Linked DNA regions of Arabidopsis thaliana. The protein of the gene in region 3 binds, or shares a complex with, the protein of the main gene of each other region. Each region holds a gene or a part of one and is shown on either strand. Other genes may lie near its edges. A codon is read from its position in the direction of its gene.

Region 1 (5,906 bases), on a different chromosome or scaffold from region 3:
TGTGCAGATAGATGATAAAAACTGGCCACCGTTTTTCCCAATCATACACCATGACATTGCTAAAGAGATACCAGTTCATGCACAAAAGCTGCAGTATCTGGCTTTCGCTAGTTGGTTAGGTAAGGCTAATCTTGTTTTTCTGTCTTTTTTTATCACGTGTATCTAATGTGTTGAATTGTTGGGCTTGTATTTGACTGTTCGACTATTAAAATTTCAGGTATCGTTCTGTGTCTGGTATTCAATGTCATTGCAACGATGGTCTGCTGGATTAAAGGCGGAGGTGAGCCTACACTATATTACAATGTTTTATATTATGAAGGTAACTTTTTTTATGAGAATTTTGATTGGATTTGGTTCAACTAATGGTGGTTTTAAAATATCAATGATAGGTGTTAAAATCTTTTTCCTGGCCACAATATATGCATTGATCGGATGTCCACTCTCTTATGTACTATGGTACAGGCCACTCTACCGAGCCATGAGGTAATATTCCTGCTCACTGGTTCTCTTCCATTTGTATAAGTACAATTACAGGCGATATAATTGAAATACATTTTACGGCCTTGCAGGACTGACAGTGCTTTGAAGTTTGGTTGGTTTTTCTTCACCTACTTGGTGAGTTCATAAAACCTATTTATATCTTACCTTTAAGTAGATATACTTCCATTTTCCACATGATTGACCTGAGCTCCTTACAGATTCACATTGGCTTCTGCATCGTTGCTGCCATCGCCCCTCCAATCTTTTTCCATGGAAAATCATTAACGTAAGTCTTCCAATAATAGCCTACGTTTCTACTTGCGTTTGAGTGTACTCTTACTTCATATGTAGTTGGTTAGTCTGGTGAGGGCTTCAATTGGAAAGTTCTAAATTGTTCTGAAAGGTTTATTAATATTCAGTTGTTACAAAATAATGAGGATTATGACTACAAGTAGAAGTGAGAATCTAGCTGTGATTCACCTCTGTATGTTTTGTTGCCTTGAGATTAACTTAAAAACCCTTTCTCTTATTTCGATCAACAGGGGTGTGCTTGCAGCAATTGATGTCATCTCAGACAGTTTATTAGCTGGGGTATGAGCTATACACCTATTTTACATTTCATGACGACGCCTATAATATATTCAATGTGTCTAACCCTAATGAATGATGGCAGATCTTCTACTTTATCGGATTCGGTCTCTTCTGCTTGGAGTCACTGCTGAGTCTATGGGTTCTTCAGGTAAGCCTCTGATCATACTTTTCATGGCTTCTTCAAAACTGTTGACGTTGATGAAACCAGTAAACATTTGATTGATCTGGTTTCCCATTTTGGCTTTGCAGAAAATTTACCTCTACTTTAGGGGAAACAAGTGAAAAGGAGATAAAGAGGAAGATGATGGTAATTTTCCCTTACGATATAAGGTCTGAAATATGTGTATCTCCTATGAATGTAATTACCATTTTACCGTTTGATGCGTTGTGTTGATTGAGGTAAATTCTTTAGTTACTATAGTAGCAAGAGAGAGTGGTTGTTCGGCCATTTCTTTATGTTTTTTACTCTGTTCTTCTCTGGTCTGTAATATACCAATATCGTCTCTTAGCTTTTGGGATTTTTTTTCGGCGAAGTGGATGGACTATTTAGACAAAAAAAAATCATAGCTATGAATTATTAGTAGCGACTCTCTTCGGTCTGAATCTTAGAATCTGGTCCTTCTGATTATCATTGCGTATAACAAAGTATAGATGTTTCGATATGGCCGTGAACTTTATGAATTTTTTTTTTTGCAAACACCATGACTCGAGAGAGATAAAACTTCGTTAAATTCTTCTGTTGAGCAAAATAAGAACTTTTTTTCATTTGCAAACTCCATGAGTCAAAACTCAAAAGAGATTAAAGTAATTTTTTTGGAAAGATTTAATGTGAGTCCATAGTTTTTACTTTTTAACCTAACAAATTCTCTGACCCGTTATAGTTTCATGCTTGACATGGAAGTTGTATGGTGGTTGGTGGAGACTACGTTCAATGTGTCCAAGAATAAGCAACTAGTGCCGACTCTATCGCGGTCGATAAATAAACCATGGTTTTGTTTTTTTAATCCCGATGTAATCTCTTTTACTAATTACCCTACGGTGAAATTCATGAGTAATAAACTTCTGGTATCTGTTCACAAAAAAAAAAAAAAAAAAAAAACTCTTGGTGTCTTTATTAATTGGTAGGCTTGAAGCCCATTGTTAAGGTAACGCAAGAAGGCTTTGATCCCTATAGAAAAAAATAAAAGCATAAAAAGGTAAGTTGTTCAAAGACCATAAAGATTCGAAGCCAAGGGGGGATATACGGTGACGTGTAAATGTGACCCACATAATACTCTCTCCTTCATCTTCAGACCTTAAACACCTAATCCCCATCTGTCCAATTAGAATCTCCCACGTGTCAATTCAAATATCCAAATCCCAAAAAAATAAGCAAATAACCACCAAGCAACGTCTCCCTCCATGCCCTGTTAGTTTTATCACTTCATCGGCAACTCCACTCCTCTCCCAAACTCTATTCTCCAAATTATCTTTTAGCCAAAAAAATCAAACAAAATTACCATAAGTTTATTACTTCATGAAGTAAATAAGATATGATCTTTGGTTTTTTAATGGCTATAAATGTTTTCTTATCCTCTTATCTTATCAACAACATCTTAACATAGAGACTAATCAACATTACAAACAATTTTACTTCAAGAAACCAAAACATGAGCCAATCATCACACAACCACATTAAACCAAAACAAAACAAAATAAAACTCCTTTTCTTCTCTGCAAATTGCCATCTGTTTTTCCTATAGACCCATTGTCCTCCTCTCATTTCTCTCTTTCCCCATTTAATCTTATTTTCAAAAAAAAAAAAAATCACATCTCTATATCACCACACAAAAAACCATAAAATCAAAAATCGTTACCCACATTTCTTTCATTCTATCCTAAATCCTCATCACTCAACCTGAGCTCACAAAGCTAAACAAAAAAAAAAGAGCTTAGGCGGAGAAGAAGAGGAGACCAAAACACCAAACAAACAACAATGGCTGTCTCAACTATCTACTCAACACAAGCTCTCAATTCAACTCATTTCTTAACCTCTTCTTCCTCCTCCAAACAAGTCTTCCTCTACCGTCGTCAACCACAAACCAACCGTAGATTCAACACACTCATCACTTGCGCACAAGAAACCATCGTGATCGGACTAGCTGCTGACTCTGGCTGCGGCAAAAGTACCTTTATGCGGAGGCTCACCAGCGTCTTTGGTGGCGCTGCTAAGCCACCAAAAGGCGGGAACCCTGATTCCAACACACTCATCAGCGACACGACCACTGTGATCTGTCTTGATGATTACCATTCTTTGGATAGGTACGGTAGGAAAGAGCAGAAAGTCACCGCTTTGGACCCACGCGCCAATGACTTTGATCTCATGTATGAGCAAGTCAAAGCTCTTAAGAATGGTATAGCCGTCGAGAAACCGATTTATAACCATGTCACTGGACTTCTTGACCCTCCGGAGCTTATTCAGCCTCCTAAGATTCTTGTCATCGAAGGTCTTCACCCAATGTAAGCTACACATACTCTGTTATGATACTCTGTTTTGTATCTTAGACATACTCAAATTTTAGAGTTTGGAAGTCTCTTATCTTGTCGGAATTTCGATGATTAAGAATCTGGACTTAGATTTATACTAGAATCAGTATCAGAATAATTAAAGATGGATCTTTGAATCTATGCATGTAGTGTGTGACACCGATTAATTTTTATTCGAATAATTAAGTCTATAGTTTTGGTACTTGTAATGTTTTATAATAATATTTATCTACTTGTGAAGGTTTGATGAGCGAGTAAGAGACTTACTAGACTTCAGTATCTACTTGGACATTAGCAACGAAGTCAAATTCGCTTGGAAAATTCAGGTGAATTTCTTTGAATAATTCAACTACATTTACACCATTTTGTGGAACGTTTTCGGTTTATCTTATAAAACTGAATCTGTAACGTTTTTGATGGTCACAGAGGGACATGGCTGAAAGAGGTCACAGTTTGGAGAGCATCAAAGCGAGTATCGAAGCCCGAAAGCCCGACTTCGATGCATTCATCGGTAACACTCCTAATTTCTTGATGTAACCCCGTGTCATATTCGGCTTGATCAGTTTATAATATTTTCAATGGCTTATACAGACCCGCAAAAGCAGTACGCGGATGCGGTCATAGAAGTGCTTCCTACGACTCTGATCCCAGATGACAACGAAGGGAAAGTGTTGAGAGTGAGATTGATAATGAAGGAAGGTGTTAAGTACTTCAGCCCGGTTTACCTGTTCGATGAAGGTTCAACCATCTCGTGGATTCCTTGCGGCCGCAAACTCACTTGCTCGTACCCTGGCATCAAGTTCAACTACGAACCTGACTCCTACTTCGACCATGAGGTACATTCATATTGCATAATGACATATTGTGAGAAATGAATGAAAATGCATGTGTATGAGAATTTAGACTCATTGCATATATCTCCCTTTTTGTTTCTCTCAGGTATCAGTTTTGGAGATGGATGGACAATTTGATAGACTGGACGAGCTGATTTACGTGGAAAGTCACTTGAGCAACCTCTCGACCAAATTCTACGGAGAAGTCACTCAACAAATGCTCAAACATGCTGATTTCCCGGGTAGCAACAACGGTACTGGTCTTTTCCAAACCATTGTTGGATTGAAGATCAGAGATCTCTATGAGCAGCTCATTGCCAACAAAGCCACTGCTCGTGCAGAAGCTAAAGCCTAAAACAAACGAAGCGAAGCCAAATAGAACGCGTCGATAAATACATCCGCAGTTTCTTCTTTTTCTTATTTCTTTCTTTCTTTATGCGTTGTTTACCGCGGATTTTCATGGCGAAAAGGACGGTCTTGCTTGTTTGTAATTTGTGTGGAGATAAAAAGAAAAAGCCTGTAATGTAGAGAAGTGAATAGCAGAGCAATAACAGTTCAGTTTATAGAACGCCTTCAAAATTTGTTCTTTACAGCATCAAAGTAGATTCAAACCACAAATCAACTAAGCAAAAGAAAGAACAGTTTTATCCTATTGATCATACTCATGTTGAATACTTGAATGTCAAATAGCTTTTGGATTACAAATTACACAGTTCAAACTTCCTTATAGATTCCATATAAGAAAGCAAAGAAATTATACATACAAGTAACAATCCCATTTTCTTGCAATCACCAAGTACTACTTTGGGTACCAAAACATGCCTTTGATGCCTTCTGGATCAGCCTCAAACCCCAAGTTCTGATAGAAATCCACAACTACAAAAAAGGAACACAGATTCAACAACTAAGTAAGAACAAATCCAAATATTTTGACCACAAAAATTGCAGATTAAACAGTGATTCGATGTTTTACCTTGACTATCTGCAAACAGAGATATGTTACCAATATCTCTTTGAAGAAGAGCCCTTACAAGTTTTTCAACAAGAGCTTTACCTAGCCCTTGACCCTGAAACGTGAAAACAAACACAAACACCAATTAACATCAAACACAAAGCATTTATATTGGCAAGCAAAAACTAAATGCAAAAACCATATCATTTGTTTTGATTAACCTGATATTCAGGATCAACAAGAACATCCCAAATTGTAGCATTAAAGGCATGATCCGACGTCGCACGTGCCATACCAATAAGCTTCTTCTCCTGCTGCTTCTCCCCATCCCCGCCTTCTGTGTCAAATAACTTCTCCAAAATCCGCTAAGATGTTCATCAAAACATCCTCTTTGTATATATATACACATTGCTTATAGTGAGTCAAGAAAAGTGTTATACTTAGTTATAAGCACCTGATGAATCTGAATCTGATGATGACTTCATTACAGAATGCAAAGTAGCAACCATATAACTATTCTTCAA
Region 2 (5,902 bases), about 13 Mb from region 3:
GGTACCTAAACGAATCGACGAAGAAGCGAGACAAGCTTTGATAACAAAAGGGAAAGTGAATTTATCAAACTGGGATTGATGAGAGATCATCATAAGGATAAAGAGAAGAAGAGCTTCACGAGGTTTGTGATTAACAGAGAGAGATCTTATCATAAGGTTCCAGGTAAAAGTAGAAGGAGATTGAAGTTGATTAAAGACGAGAGAAGCGTATTGGGTTTCTCCGAAGGAAGAAGAAACACTTATGAGCTGACGAACTAGTAACTGATCGTTGGTGAGATTGTGTTTGATGATTTTGGTGTGAATTTGTTTCAATTGAGAGAAATTTGAACAAGTTCGGAGAAAGTAAGAAGCTTCGGGAGATCGGAATGGTGGAGGAGAGAGGAGGTTTGGTGGTGAAGACGGCGACGGAGCCGCCATGGATTAACGATAAATCACCAAATTCTCACATTCACTCTTTCCTCGATTGATCGTGTGTGGATGATGATGAAGCTGCATATAAACCGAACTAAACCGAAGTTTGGCTGATTTGGTTCGGATTCGGTTTATTGTGTAGCAAGAGGAAGCATAACCAGATTGATTCGACTAGGAACCACTAAACCAAACGAAATACAGAAATTTCGAACCAAACCGGATCGATTCTACGTGTATTAAACGTCGTCGTTTTTGTTAGCTAAAAAGAAGAAATAGTAAATATCCATTAGAAGAAGAAGACGAAGCAGAGGAATCTAGGGTTTATGCTACATTGAAGCAAAGATGGTTACGAGCAGCGATCAAATCCAAAATGGTTCTGAAGAGCAATCAAAAAGATCAGAGATTTACACATACGAAGCACCATGGCAGATCTACGCAATGAACTGGAGCATTCGTCGAGACAAGAAGTATCGGCTCGCAATCACAAGCCTCATCGAGCAATATCCGAATCGCGTCGAAATTGTTCAGCTTGATGAATCAAATGGTGAGATTCGTTCAGATCCAAATCTCTGCTTCGAACATCCTTACCCACCAACGAAAACCAGTTTCATACCCGATAAAGAATGTCAAAGACCCGATCTTTTAGCTACTTCTAGTGATTTCCTTCGTTTATGGCGAATCTCTGATGATGAATCTCGTGTTGAGCTTAAGTCTTGTCTTAGTAGTGATAAGAATAGTGAGTTTAGTGGTCCAATCACTTCATTTGATTGGAATGAAGCTGAGCCTAGACGAATTGGTACTTCTAGTATTGATACCACTTGTACTATTTGGGATATAGAGCGTGAAGTTGTTGATACCCAGCTTATTGCTCATGATAAAGAGGTTTATGACATTGCTTGGGGTGGTGTTGGTGTCTTTGCCTCTGTCTCAGAGGATGGTTCCGTTAGAGTGTTTGATCTCCGTGATAAGGAGCATTCGACGATTATCTACGAGAGTGGTGAGCCTAGTACTCCTTTGGTGCGACTTAGTTGGAACAAGCAGGATCCGAGGTATATGGCTACTGTTATCATGGGCAGTGCTAAAATTGTTGTGTTGGATATTCGGTTTCCGGCTCTTCCTGTCGTGGAGCTTCAGCGACATCAGGCTAGTGTCAATGCTATAGCTTGGGCTCCTCATAGCTCTTCCCATATCTGCTCCGCTGGAGATGATTCTCAGGCGTTGATTTGGGATATATCTTCCATGGGACAGCATGTTGAAGGTGGTCTGGATCCGATTCTAGCTTACACAGCCGGCGCTGAGGTTGAGCAGCTTCAGTGGTCATCTTCTCAGCCTGATTGGGTTGCCATTGCCTTCTCTAACAAGCTGCAGATTCTCCGGGTCTGATTATGTTTTACAGATTTCTGTTGGATACTTGGATGTAAAAACTCGTTGCTATTGTTGATTAATGATCTTTTGATCTCTGACTCTAAGCCTCATTGAGTTTCCTTTCATAGTATGGTCTGTGTAGGAACTATGTACCTTCAAAATTGTGAATAACTAGCTTTAGCATTGGATTTGATTAGACGTATGGAAGTTAGTTTTGAACAGAGAGCATGTGACATAACGGGGAACTTGAAGTAGATTATGACTAACACCAGCATTTATGTTTCTCTGCCCTCGAGCTGATGGAGTTGCAGGATTTTGTCTGCCTCACCATCGTATGGAATGTGTAGCTTTCTATGGTAGTTGTTATAAGTTTTGTCTCCATTGTCCATATCACTTTATGGGTATGTAGATTTGTGAAATTAGGCATTTGTAACATCGTACAGATGATGTATTCTTCATTACTTCAATACAGGCATATAGACTCTCTGTCCAACTTAAAAGGCATACAAGGTCTGTGGTTTACCAAAATCAGCTTTACTAAATCCTTTGGCCAATATTCTCTCAGCCAGTCCTAAGAACCTCTGCTCTAAAAAGTCTTAGCTTTGAAAGTCAGACAAATGGAGAGCAGCCTTATCCTCCTTTTATAACCGTGACCACACACACAAATGAAGAAGCCCAAATGAAAGGCCCAAAAATCTAAAAAATAGGTGAAGGAGGGACTTTGTGAATATGTGATCATAGAAACATGAAGAGACAAGAGAGTGGTAAAACCACAACCATAGAAACAAGTAAGAAAGCTATCCAGAATCTAATCTTATTTGCCTCCAAGTCATCAATTCTTTATCCTATATTACTAGTCTCTGCTTCACCAATCCTTTTTGCTCTCCTGTCTGCTACAAACCTTAACTTGGATTCTTTCTGGTCACCATGGCTTCGGTTACTTTCTCTGTCCCCAAGGTACCTTCCTCCTTCTTCTTCTTCTCTTCTTCAGGTCTCTCTTACACAAGTTAACTAAATGTTGTGTTTTGTTTTCAGGGTTTCACTGAATTCTCAGGATTGCGAAGCTCCTCTGCTTCTCTTCCCTTCGGCAAGAAACTTTCTTCCGATGAGTTCGTTTCCATCGTCTCCTTCCAGACTTCTGCAGTGAGTTCTCTGTTCTCCTCCAACATTATTTGTAGCTTACGTGTTCTTCCTTATGATGATCATCAACTATATGAAATGTTTGTACCTATATGCATGTCTATCGATAAATCGGATGAATTATGTTTGCTTCTGTTTCTCGCCGGTTTTGTAAACTATTTGGATGGTTGTTCTGTTTGTGTATCAGATGGGAAGCAGTGGTGGATACAGGAAAGGTGTGACTGAGGCCAAGCTTAAGGTGGCCATTAATGGATTCGGTAGGATCGGGAGGAACTTCCTGAGATGTTGGCATGGTCGCAAGGACTCTCCTCTTGATATCATTGCCATTAATGACACTGGTGGCGTCAAGCAGGCTTCGCATTTACTTAAATACGACTCTACTCTCGGAATCTTTGATGCTGATGTCAAACCTTCTGGAGAGACTGCAATCTCTGTTGATGGAAAGATCATCCAAGTTGTCTCTAACCGAAACCCGTCTCTTCTCCCTTGGAAGTAAGTCGAAAAACCACTTATGTGATCAGTCTTTTTATCTCAAGTCTAGAATAAGCATTTGAATTGGATATGGTTGGTATCTTAGGGAGCTAGGAATTGACATTGTCATCGAAGGAACCGGAGTGTTTGTGGATAGAGAAGGTGCAGGGAAACACATTGAAGCTGGTGCCAAGAAGGTTATCATTACTGCTCCAGGCAAAGGAGATATTCCAACTTATGTCGTTGGTGTCAATGCAGATGCTTACAGTCATGATGAACCTATCATCAGCAATGCATCTTGCACTACCAACTGTCTTGCTCCCTTTGTCAAAGTTCTTGACCAGAAATTCGGTATGCAATCCGTTTTCCGCTTTCGCTTTTCGTGTTCTCTCACGGGATCAATGAAACGGGTTTTAATGTGTTTGTAACATTGCAGGTATCATAAAGGGTACAATGACGACTACTCACTCTTACACCGGTGACCAGAGGTTGCTAGACGCGAGTCACCGTGATCTAAGGAGAGCAAGAGCAGCTGCTTTGAACATTGTTCCTACTTCTACAGGAGCAGCTAAAGCTGTGGCTCTTGTGCTCCCTAACCTCAAAGGAAAACTCAACGGGATCGCTCTCCGTGTACCAACACCAAACGTATCAGTGGTTGATCTCGTTGTGCAGGTCTCAAAGAAGACATTTGCTGAGGAAGTCAACGCTGCTTTCAGAGATTCTGCAGAGAAAGAGCTTAAAGGTATACTCGATGTCTGCGATGAGCCACTAGTGTCCGTTGATTTCAGATGCTCAGATTTTTCAACGACCATTGATTCATCACTCACTATGGTTATGGGAGATGATATGGTTAAGGTGATTGCTTGGTATGATAATGAATGGGGTTACTCACAGAGAGTTGTTGACTTGGCTGACATTGTTGCCAACAACTGGAAGTGATTTCATCAAACTTTGTTTCATGTTTTTCCATTTTTTTCTCTTTCTCTTTTTTACATTATGGTTCTCAAAATATCGGTGAAGACTGTATAATTGTAGTATGGATTTGTAATAAATAATCATAAACTATTCAAACTTGTTTACATTTTGTGTTTTGTGATACACTTTTCAGTATAGCTAATGGCCTCTTGATTATGATTATGAGTTTGATATATCAAAGTTAGTTGAATCTTATAAGTTACAGGGAAACAAAAATGCAGAGGAGATTTTATTGATGAAACTGAGAGATATTACATAAAATCAGAATTTTGGGTTTGGCTAAGTTTGGTTTGAGCAACAGCAATCTCAGCTTGAGTTTTGGCTAATTCATTCTGAGTTTTCTGAATCTGAGTTTTAAGTAAATGAATAATGCCAACACAACCATAAACAGGGTCATCTACTCTGCATTTTGCTTCAAAGCACAAAGATTCCACTGCTTCAGCTCTTGTCTGATCAGGAAGTTGCTGTCAAAAAGATCACCAAAATCCAACCATGAATACACTTACTTATATATATGCATAAAGTGTGATCTTAAATAGGATATTAGAAGAAGATACACAAAGATGTGTATACCTGAAGCATTTTGGAAACGTTTCCAGCACCATAGATTCTGTGGACACATGCAAATTTTTGAGGATCGTTTGGAGGGAAATATGGTGAGAATACGCAATCTTTTGGACATCTTCTTCTCAGATACTTGCAAGCTGCACATCTTTTTGGATTCATCTTAGATTTTCTCAGAAACAAATATAAACAAACAACACAAAAGAAGAGATTGTGAAATCTTACACAAAGATTTAGCTATTTGTATTCCTTTTCGTTTCCTTTCTTTTCCAATAATCAAACGGCTAGTTTCCAGTTTCTGAAATTTGACAACATTTACTTAAGGTAAGACTATTTATGTTGATTCTCACTTAGACTAATTAGACTTTATATTACCGTTAACATTACTGTTAAGGCAACAACATTCATGTTCTCTTTAGAGAAAATAAATTGCACTACTAGTTATTAGACGCTAGTTATAGTGATCTAAGGAGAGCAAGAGTAGCAGCTGTTTGCATATGATTCTCCAAATACTGTATATAATTATATACCTGAGTTATGGATTTGTAATAATAATATAAACTCGATTCAAACTTGTTTACATTTTGTGCTTTATGAAACACTTTTCACAGGTCTCAAACAAAAAAATGAATATACAGAGATGTTGTTATGTAATACAATTTGGTTCTTGCAAGAATACACAATCGTGGGATGGTTTCCTAAAAACAGATTTTGCTACTACAACATATGTGATAAGAGAAGAATGTGCATGAGATTCGGTCTCATGCTTTCTGTTTTCACTACCTACTTAAGCCTTTGAAGAGATGGTCTTTTCAAGCATTCTTGTTCCTTCTTCTTCCATGGCTAGTTTGCTCCATCCTGACCCTCTCATGGACAAAATCTTTGCCCGTTCGAGTCCGTTTCCTCTAAACCCTGTAATCTTCGAAGATACCATTGGCATCACTAGAATCGCAGATGCATTTATAGAGTCTTCACC
Region 3 (4,021 bases):
CCAAACTCTCGCCGCTAATCTTCTGCTCAAAAACAGAAATTTTTGAAGACCCGGAAGTGTTTTCGGGTGAATTGAAATGGGTAGAGATCAGAATCGGACTTGCTTGAGGAGAAACTGAAGAATCGGAAATGGCGGCAATAGGGCTTAAATCGATCTGGAAGTTAGCTTCTGGTGTTGGGTAAAGAGAAGAGTTAGATTTGAGTAAGGAAGAGGAGAAGAAAGTGAAGAAAACAATGGCGGAAGAGATTATTGTGATGATGAATGCTAAGACTCTTGTGGACTTCACAGAGAAACTTCTTTGTCTCTCCATCTTCTATCTCTTTATTTATTTTTTCTCTGTAACTGTTATAAGTTAGTTAAGAAAAAACAGTTTCATAATTATCTGTAATCAGAGAAATTTGAAATCGAAAAATGGAACTGTTTGAGAAAAGGATTGAAATTTTGGAGTCGACAAAGGTGGTTGAATTAGTGGGGTATAGAGGAGAGATTCGGTGAAGAAATGATAATGACGTTCTTACAAACTCGTGAGCTCATGAATTTTACAATAATTAACGGAACAGAGGGAAAGATAATGATTATTTAAAAAAGTTCAGGATTAGGAAATTAGTTTAGTGTGTTGACAGATTGGATTTGGCATTATTAACGTGGTGGGACACACTCGGGGAACACGAGCAGCGAATGGTTTACTTTTTTAAAAAGCAAATTCCATAAAATGCCCATTGAAGAAATAAGAGATCAGGCCCATGTTTAAGGCCCAATAAGACACAAATGGAGTAGAGAAGTGATTATCTGCTTACGCAACTTCTTCAATCACCCACCATTTCGTTTTCGTCGTGAGCTTCTGTCTCGTTCATCTACACAATCTGACTCGGTAAAGTCCATATTCTTCCCTTGATGATAATTGTTGTTTCCTTTATGATTTTGTGGTGATTTTCGTTATAGATAGGTGGCGGATTGTGAAGTTACGATTAATTTTTATCAGATTCGAATCCATTTCTCGTTTTTTTTCCCGTGTAGATCGGTGTGCTTAAGATCGGAATTTCTCGTTTAAATCTTCCGTTGATTTAGATTTGATGCTCTTAGTGTTGTGATGCTTTGAAACGTTAATCCTTTTCTTCGGGAGAAATGCCAATTTTATTTTCAGTATCTGGATCCTGTGGATTAGGGTTCTTGTATCATTTTGGGAATAAATTCAAAGCCTTTGATATCTTCCTTTGAATAGAGACGTAGTTAAGAGGTTAGACAGAAAATGGATCGAAATTGTACATGTTTATGTGTATATATAGACTCCAAGTGCAAACCAGTAGAAATTAAGAGATCAGGTAGATTAGTGTGTGTGTGTGTATAGATGTTTTATTGGTTGTCAATAAAGTTTTCAGCTTTAGGAATCGTGAGCATTGTGAAAGTATCAATTATGTTAGTATTGACTCTATGATTAAAATGTGTGCTAGGTTGAGAAGAAATGGCAGGACACAAGGTTGCGCATGCCACATTGAAAGGCCCGAGTGTTGTCAAGGAATTGATTATTGGTTTGACGCTTGGTTTAGCTGCTGGTGGTCTCTGGAAGATGCACCATTGGAATGAGCAGAGGAAAACTAGAACTTTCTATGATTTGCTTGAGAGAGGTGAGATCGGTGTTGTCGCCTCTGAAGAGTGAATGGGAATGCCTCTCTCTCACTCTCAATGTTGTTGGCTCGATTTTTCTGTTTTTATGGTTTCTTGAGATCTCAGATAAGTTACCTAAGAAAGTTGGTTGCTTGAGAAATAAACAACCACTCAGACATCAAAATTGGATATTTGTTAACACATTGTTTTCCGGAGATACAGTGGTTGAAACTTGAGACATCTGTCTTGACTTTTCCTTAAACAGTGTGTGATCATTTTATTATACTTACCAGCTTATTTTTTCTCATCTTTTTTGGATAAAATACGCAACAGGCACTTGTATCTTAGAAAACGGCTTGGATGGCTGCAAATTTTCAACATCGTACTGCTTCATAAACGATATCAAATACGTGGAACTTAATTGTTGGTTAATAGAGGATAAGAAATGGGGTTCACAGAATTAAATTCACGCACACTTCATATATCTTGTTCCCTCCCAATTATCTGAACTATCTTCTTTTATCAAAAACTATATTCACAGGCTGCCGTGTACCTTCTCCATCCAAAGATGGCAACTATAGCTACTGGTCTTAACATTGCAACCCAGCGTGTCTTCGTCACCAGCGAGAATCGGCCAGTTTGTCTCGCCGGTCCGGTCCATTTGAACAATTCGTGGAATCTTGGGTCAAGAACAACTAACCGGATGATGAAACTTCAGCCGATTAAAGCAGCACCGGAAGGAGGGATATCGGACGTAGTGGAGAAAAGCATTAAGGAAGCTCAGGAGACTTGTGCGGGCGATCCTGTGAGTGGAGAGTGTGTAGCTGCGTGGGACGAGGTTGAAGAACTTAGCGCAGCAGCTAGCCATGCTAGAGACAAGAAGAAGGCTGATGGTTCGGACCCTTTGGAGGAATACTGCAAAGACAATCCTGAGACCAACGAGTGCCGTACTTACGACAACTGAAGCGATCAAGATCCTGTTCCGGATTCATACGTATACGACAAATCTTTGTTCCGGTCCATTTGGTAATGTCAGGTTATATAAATCATGTCTTTGAATCTGAATTAGCTCTAAAAACATTTGTAATTTGTAGTTCCATAAACGAATACAAAAGCCAAAATTTCATAACAGGTAATGCGCAGCGAATAATAAGAAAGCTTGAATTCAATAAGAAACACATTAGACACCAATTACATGAGACACAAGACTAGAGGACTGAGGCTACAAAACCATACAAAGACACGAACAAATTGAAATTGCATAAAGATTGCGTTGTCCATTGACAACACAAGACTCAATTCACCAATGACACACTAATTGTTACAACAAGGACAGTAAGTAAAACAGACCAAAGACTCGAACTCAATGCTTCATTTTTGATCCTTCAGATATGAATCATCCATCTTCAGCAATCAAACATATCAGCAGAAGCTCTGATTGGTTGCATTGGACAAGGCATCTGCCAAGGGTTCTGCATAGATTCAGGAATCTCAGGAATATCCAAAGCCTGACCACTAATTTCTTCAACCATCTCAAGCACAGAGTTCAATGATCTCAACCTATCCGTCAACTCCGAAGCCTGTGCCCTCAAGACATTGTTCTTAGACTCCATTTCAATGTATTTCTTTGAAGCTTCATCAACCTGCTCAGTGATTTTAGCGTTATCATTCTTGAGAAGAGTGACTTCGTTGATCAAATCACCAAGTTGCTTCTGTTTCCTCATCCTTGACCTCCGAGCAGATTCTCTGTTAGAGATCATTCTCTTCCTCTTCCTCTCATCCGTCACCGTGGCGTACCTCGGATCATTATCGGATTCAGGACTTGTTTGCATTTGCAACGACCCCATTTCTCGTTGACTTTTTGACTTCTTCTCACCAAAATTAAAATCAATATAATATTATTCTTCTTCTTCTAGAGATATTTTCCTATAAAAACCTCTCAAAAACACAATCTGAAAATCCCCGATTTCTAAATCTATCAAAGAATAAGTTAGATCAAAAACGAAAACTGAGATCGAGAACGATTACTTCATGAGAAAACGTAGGTGTAGTAGAGGTAAACGACGGAGAAAGAGTGTAGAATTCGAATCCGACGAAACAGGATTGAGTAGCTCATAGATTCATTCCTAATTTTGTTTTTTTTTCAAAATTCCCAAAAACCAAACCCTAGATCAAAACAAGCCTCTAAGCCAAATTTCCGATGAGAAAGAAAAAAACCTAGATCTAGATCTAGATCTGAGTGACAGAAGAGAAGGAAACGAATCAAAGAAAGGAGATGAATTATCTGAGAAACAAGAATTGTGGCTGAATCGAGAAGATTGATAAACGAAAAAAAGCTTATGATAGGATCAAAGGCCAAACGAAAGAAGGCGATAAAGTAACACCAAGCTTATCCTTTTAAAGGAGAAGATGGTGA

What was found.
Region 1: the proteins of CP12-2 (region 3) and PRK are in contact, whole or in part, in a crystal structure (PDB 6KEZ), measured with the Arabidopsis thaliana proteins. Residues at the interface, in NP_191800.1 of Arabidopsis thaliana: Asp62 (codon at 2,357), Val64 (codon at 2,363), Glu65 (codon at 2,366), Ile68 (codon at 2,375), Gly82 (codon at 2,417), Val85 (codon at 2,426), Ala86 (codon at 2,429), Trp88 (codon at 2,435), Asp89 (codon at 2,438), Glu90 (codon at 2,441), Val91 (codon at 2,444), Glu92 (codon at 2,447), Glu93 (codon at 2,450), Leu94 (codon at 2,453), Ser95 (codon at 2,456), Ala96 (codon at 2,459), Ala97 (codon at 2,462), Ala98 (codon at 2,465), Ser99 (codon at 2,468), His100 (codon at 2,471), Arg102 (codon at 2,477), Asp103 (codon at 2,480); in NP_174486.1 of Arabidopsis thaliana: Ser59 (codon at 3,221), Lys63 (codon at 3,233), Arg109 (codon at 3,371), Arg112 (codon at 3,380), Lys113 (codon at 3,383), Gln115 (codon at 3,389), Lys116 (codon at 3,392), Thr118 (codon at 3,398), Ala119 (codon at 3,401), Tyr148 (codon at 3,488), His150 (codon at 3,494), Val151 (codon at 3,497), Lys201 (codon at 3,915), Arg204 (codon at 4,024), Asp205 (codon at 4,027), Ala207 (codon at 4,033), Glu208 (codon at 4,036), Arg209 (codon at 4,039), Gly210 (codon at 4,042), His211 (codon at 4,045), Ser215 (codon at 4,057), Ala218 (codon at 4,066), Ser219 (codon at 4,069), Ala222 (codon at 4,078), Arg223 (codon at 4,081).
Region 2: the proteins of CP12-2 (region 3) and GAPA are in contact, whole or in part, in a crystal structure (PDB 3QV1), measured with the Arabidopsis thaliana proteins. Residues at the interface, in NP_191800.1 of Arabidopsis thaliana: Leu113 (codon at 2,510), Glu114 (codon at 2,513), Cys117 (codon at 2,522), Pro121 (codon at 2,534), Glu122 (codon at 2,537), Asn124 (codon at 2,543), Glu125 (codon at 2,546), Cys126 (codon at 2,549), Arg127 (codon at 2,552), Thr128 (codon at 2,555), Tyr129 (codon at 2,558), Asp130 (codon at 2,561), Asn131 (codon at 2,564); in NP_566796.2 of Arabidopsis thaliana: Arg140 (codon at 3,383), Val161 (codon at 3,531), Pro184 (codon at 3,600), Ser212 (codon at 3,684), Cys213 (codon at 3,687), Thr214 (codon at 3,690), Thr238 (codon at 3,847), His240 (codon at 3,853), Thr243 (codon at 3,862), Gly244 (codon at 3,865), Asp245 (codon at 3,868), Arg247 (codon at 3,874), Ser252 (codon at 3,889), His253 (codon at 3,892), Arg254 (codon at 3,895), Arg258 (codon at 3,907), Ser270 (codon at 3,943), Thr271 (codon at 3,946), Gly272 (codon at 3,949), Ala273 (codon at 3,952), Ala292 (codon at 4,009), Arg294 (codon at 4,015).

The regions. Positions count from the first base shown.
Region 1 is NC_003070.9:11,529,622-11,535,527, forward strand, and holds PRK (phosphoribulokinase), read left to right. Parts: upstream 1-2,577; 5' UTR 2,578-3,046; coding exon 3,047-3,570; intron 3,571-3,838; coding exon 3,839-3,923; intron 3,924-4,023; coding exon 4,024-4,108; intron 4,109-4,188; coding exon 4,189-4,433; intron 4,434-4,536; coding exon 4,537-4,785; 3' UTR 4,786-5,018; downstream 5,019-5,906. Other genes in the region: SCAMP5 (SCAMP family protein), read left to right, coding at 1-119, 218-280, 390-483, 570-615, 699-766, 1,023-1,071, 1,154-1,219, 1,321-1,353; NSI (nuclear shuttle interacting), read right to left, coding at 5,230-5,306, 5,404-5,497, 5,604-5,719, 5,837-5,906.
Region 2 is NC_003074.8:9,792,523-9,798,424, forward strand, and holds GAPA (glyceraldehyde 3-phosphate dehydrogenase A subunit), read left to right. Parts: upstream 1-2,339; 5' UTR 2,340-2,703; coding exon 2,704-2,733; intron 2,734-2,811; coding exon 2,812-2,919; intron 2,920-3,103; coding exon 3,104-3,408; intron 3,409-3,493; coding exon 3,494-3,738; intron 3,739-3,823; coding exon 3,824-4,326; 3' UTR 4,327-4,523; downstream 4,524-5,902. Other genes in the region: AT3G26630 (Tetratricopeptide repeat (TPR)-like superfamily protein), read right to left, coding at 1-417; LWD2 (Transducin/WD40 repeat-like superfamily protein), read left to right, coding at 754-1,794; LBD24 (LOB domain-containing protein 24), read right to left, coding at 4,614-4,826, 4,936-5,088; AT3G26670 (magnesium transporter, putative (DUF803)), read right to left, coding at 5,714-5,902. UniProt on the Arabidopsis thaliana protein: Involved in the photosynthetic reductive pentose phosphate pathway (Calvin-Benson cycle). Catalyzes the reduction of 1,3-diphosphoglycerate by NADPH.
Region 3 is NC_003074.8:23,088,833-23,092,853, forward strand, and holds CP12-2 (CP12 domain-containing protein 2), read left to right. Parts: upstream 1-2,111; 5' UTR 2,112-2,173; coding exon 2,174-2,569; 3' UTR 2,570-2,748; downstream 2,749-4,021. Other genes in the region: TBL6 (TRICHOME BIREFRINGENCE-LIKE 6), read right to left, coding at 1-310; AT3G62400 (cytochrome C oxidase subunit), read left to right, coding at 1,581-1,841; BZIP53 (basic region/leucine zipper motif 53), read right to left, coding at 3,012-3,452. UniProt on the Arabidopsis thaliana protein: Acts as a linker essential in the assembly of a core complex of PRK/GAPDH. Coordinates the reversible inactivation of chloroplast enzymes GAPDH and PRK during darkness in photosynthetic tissues.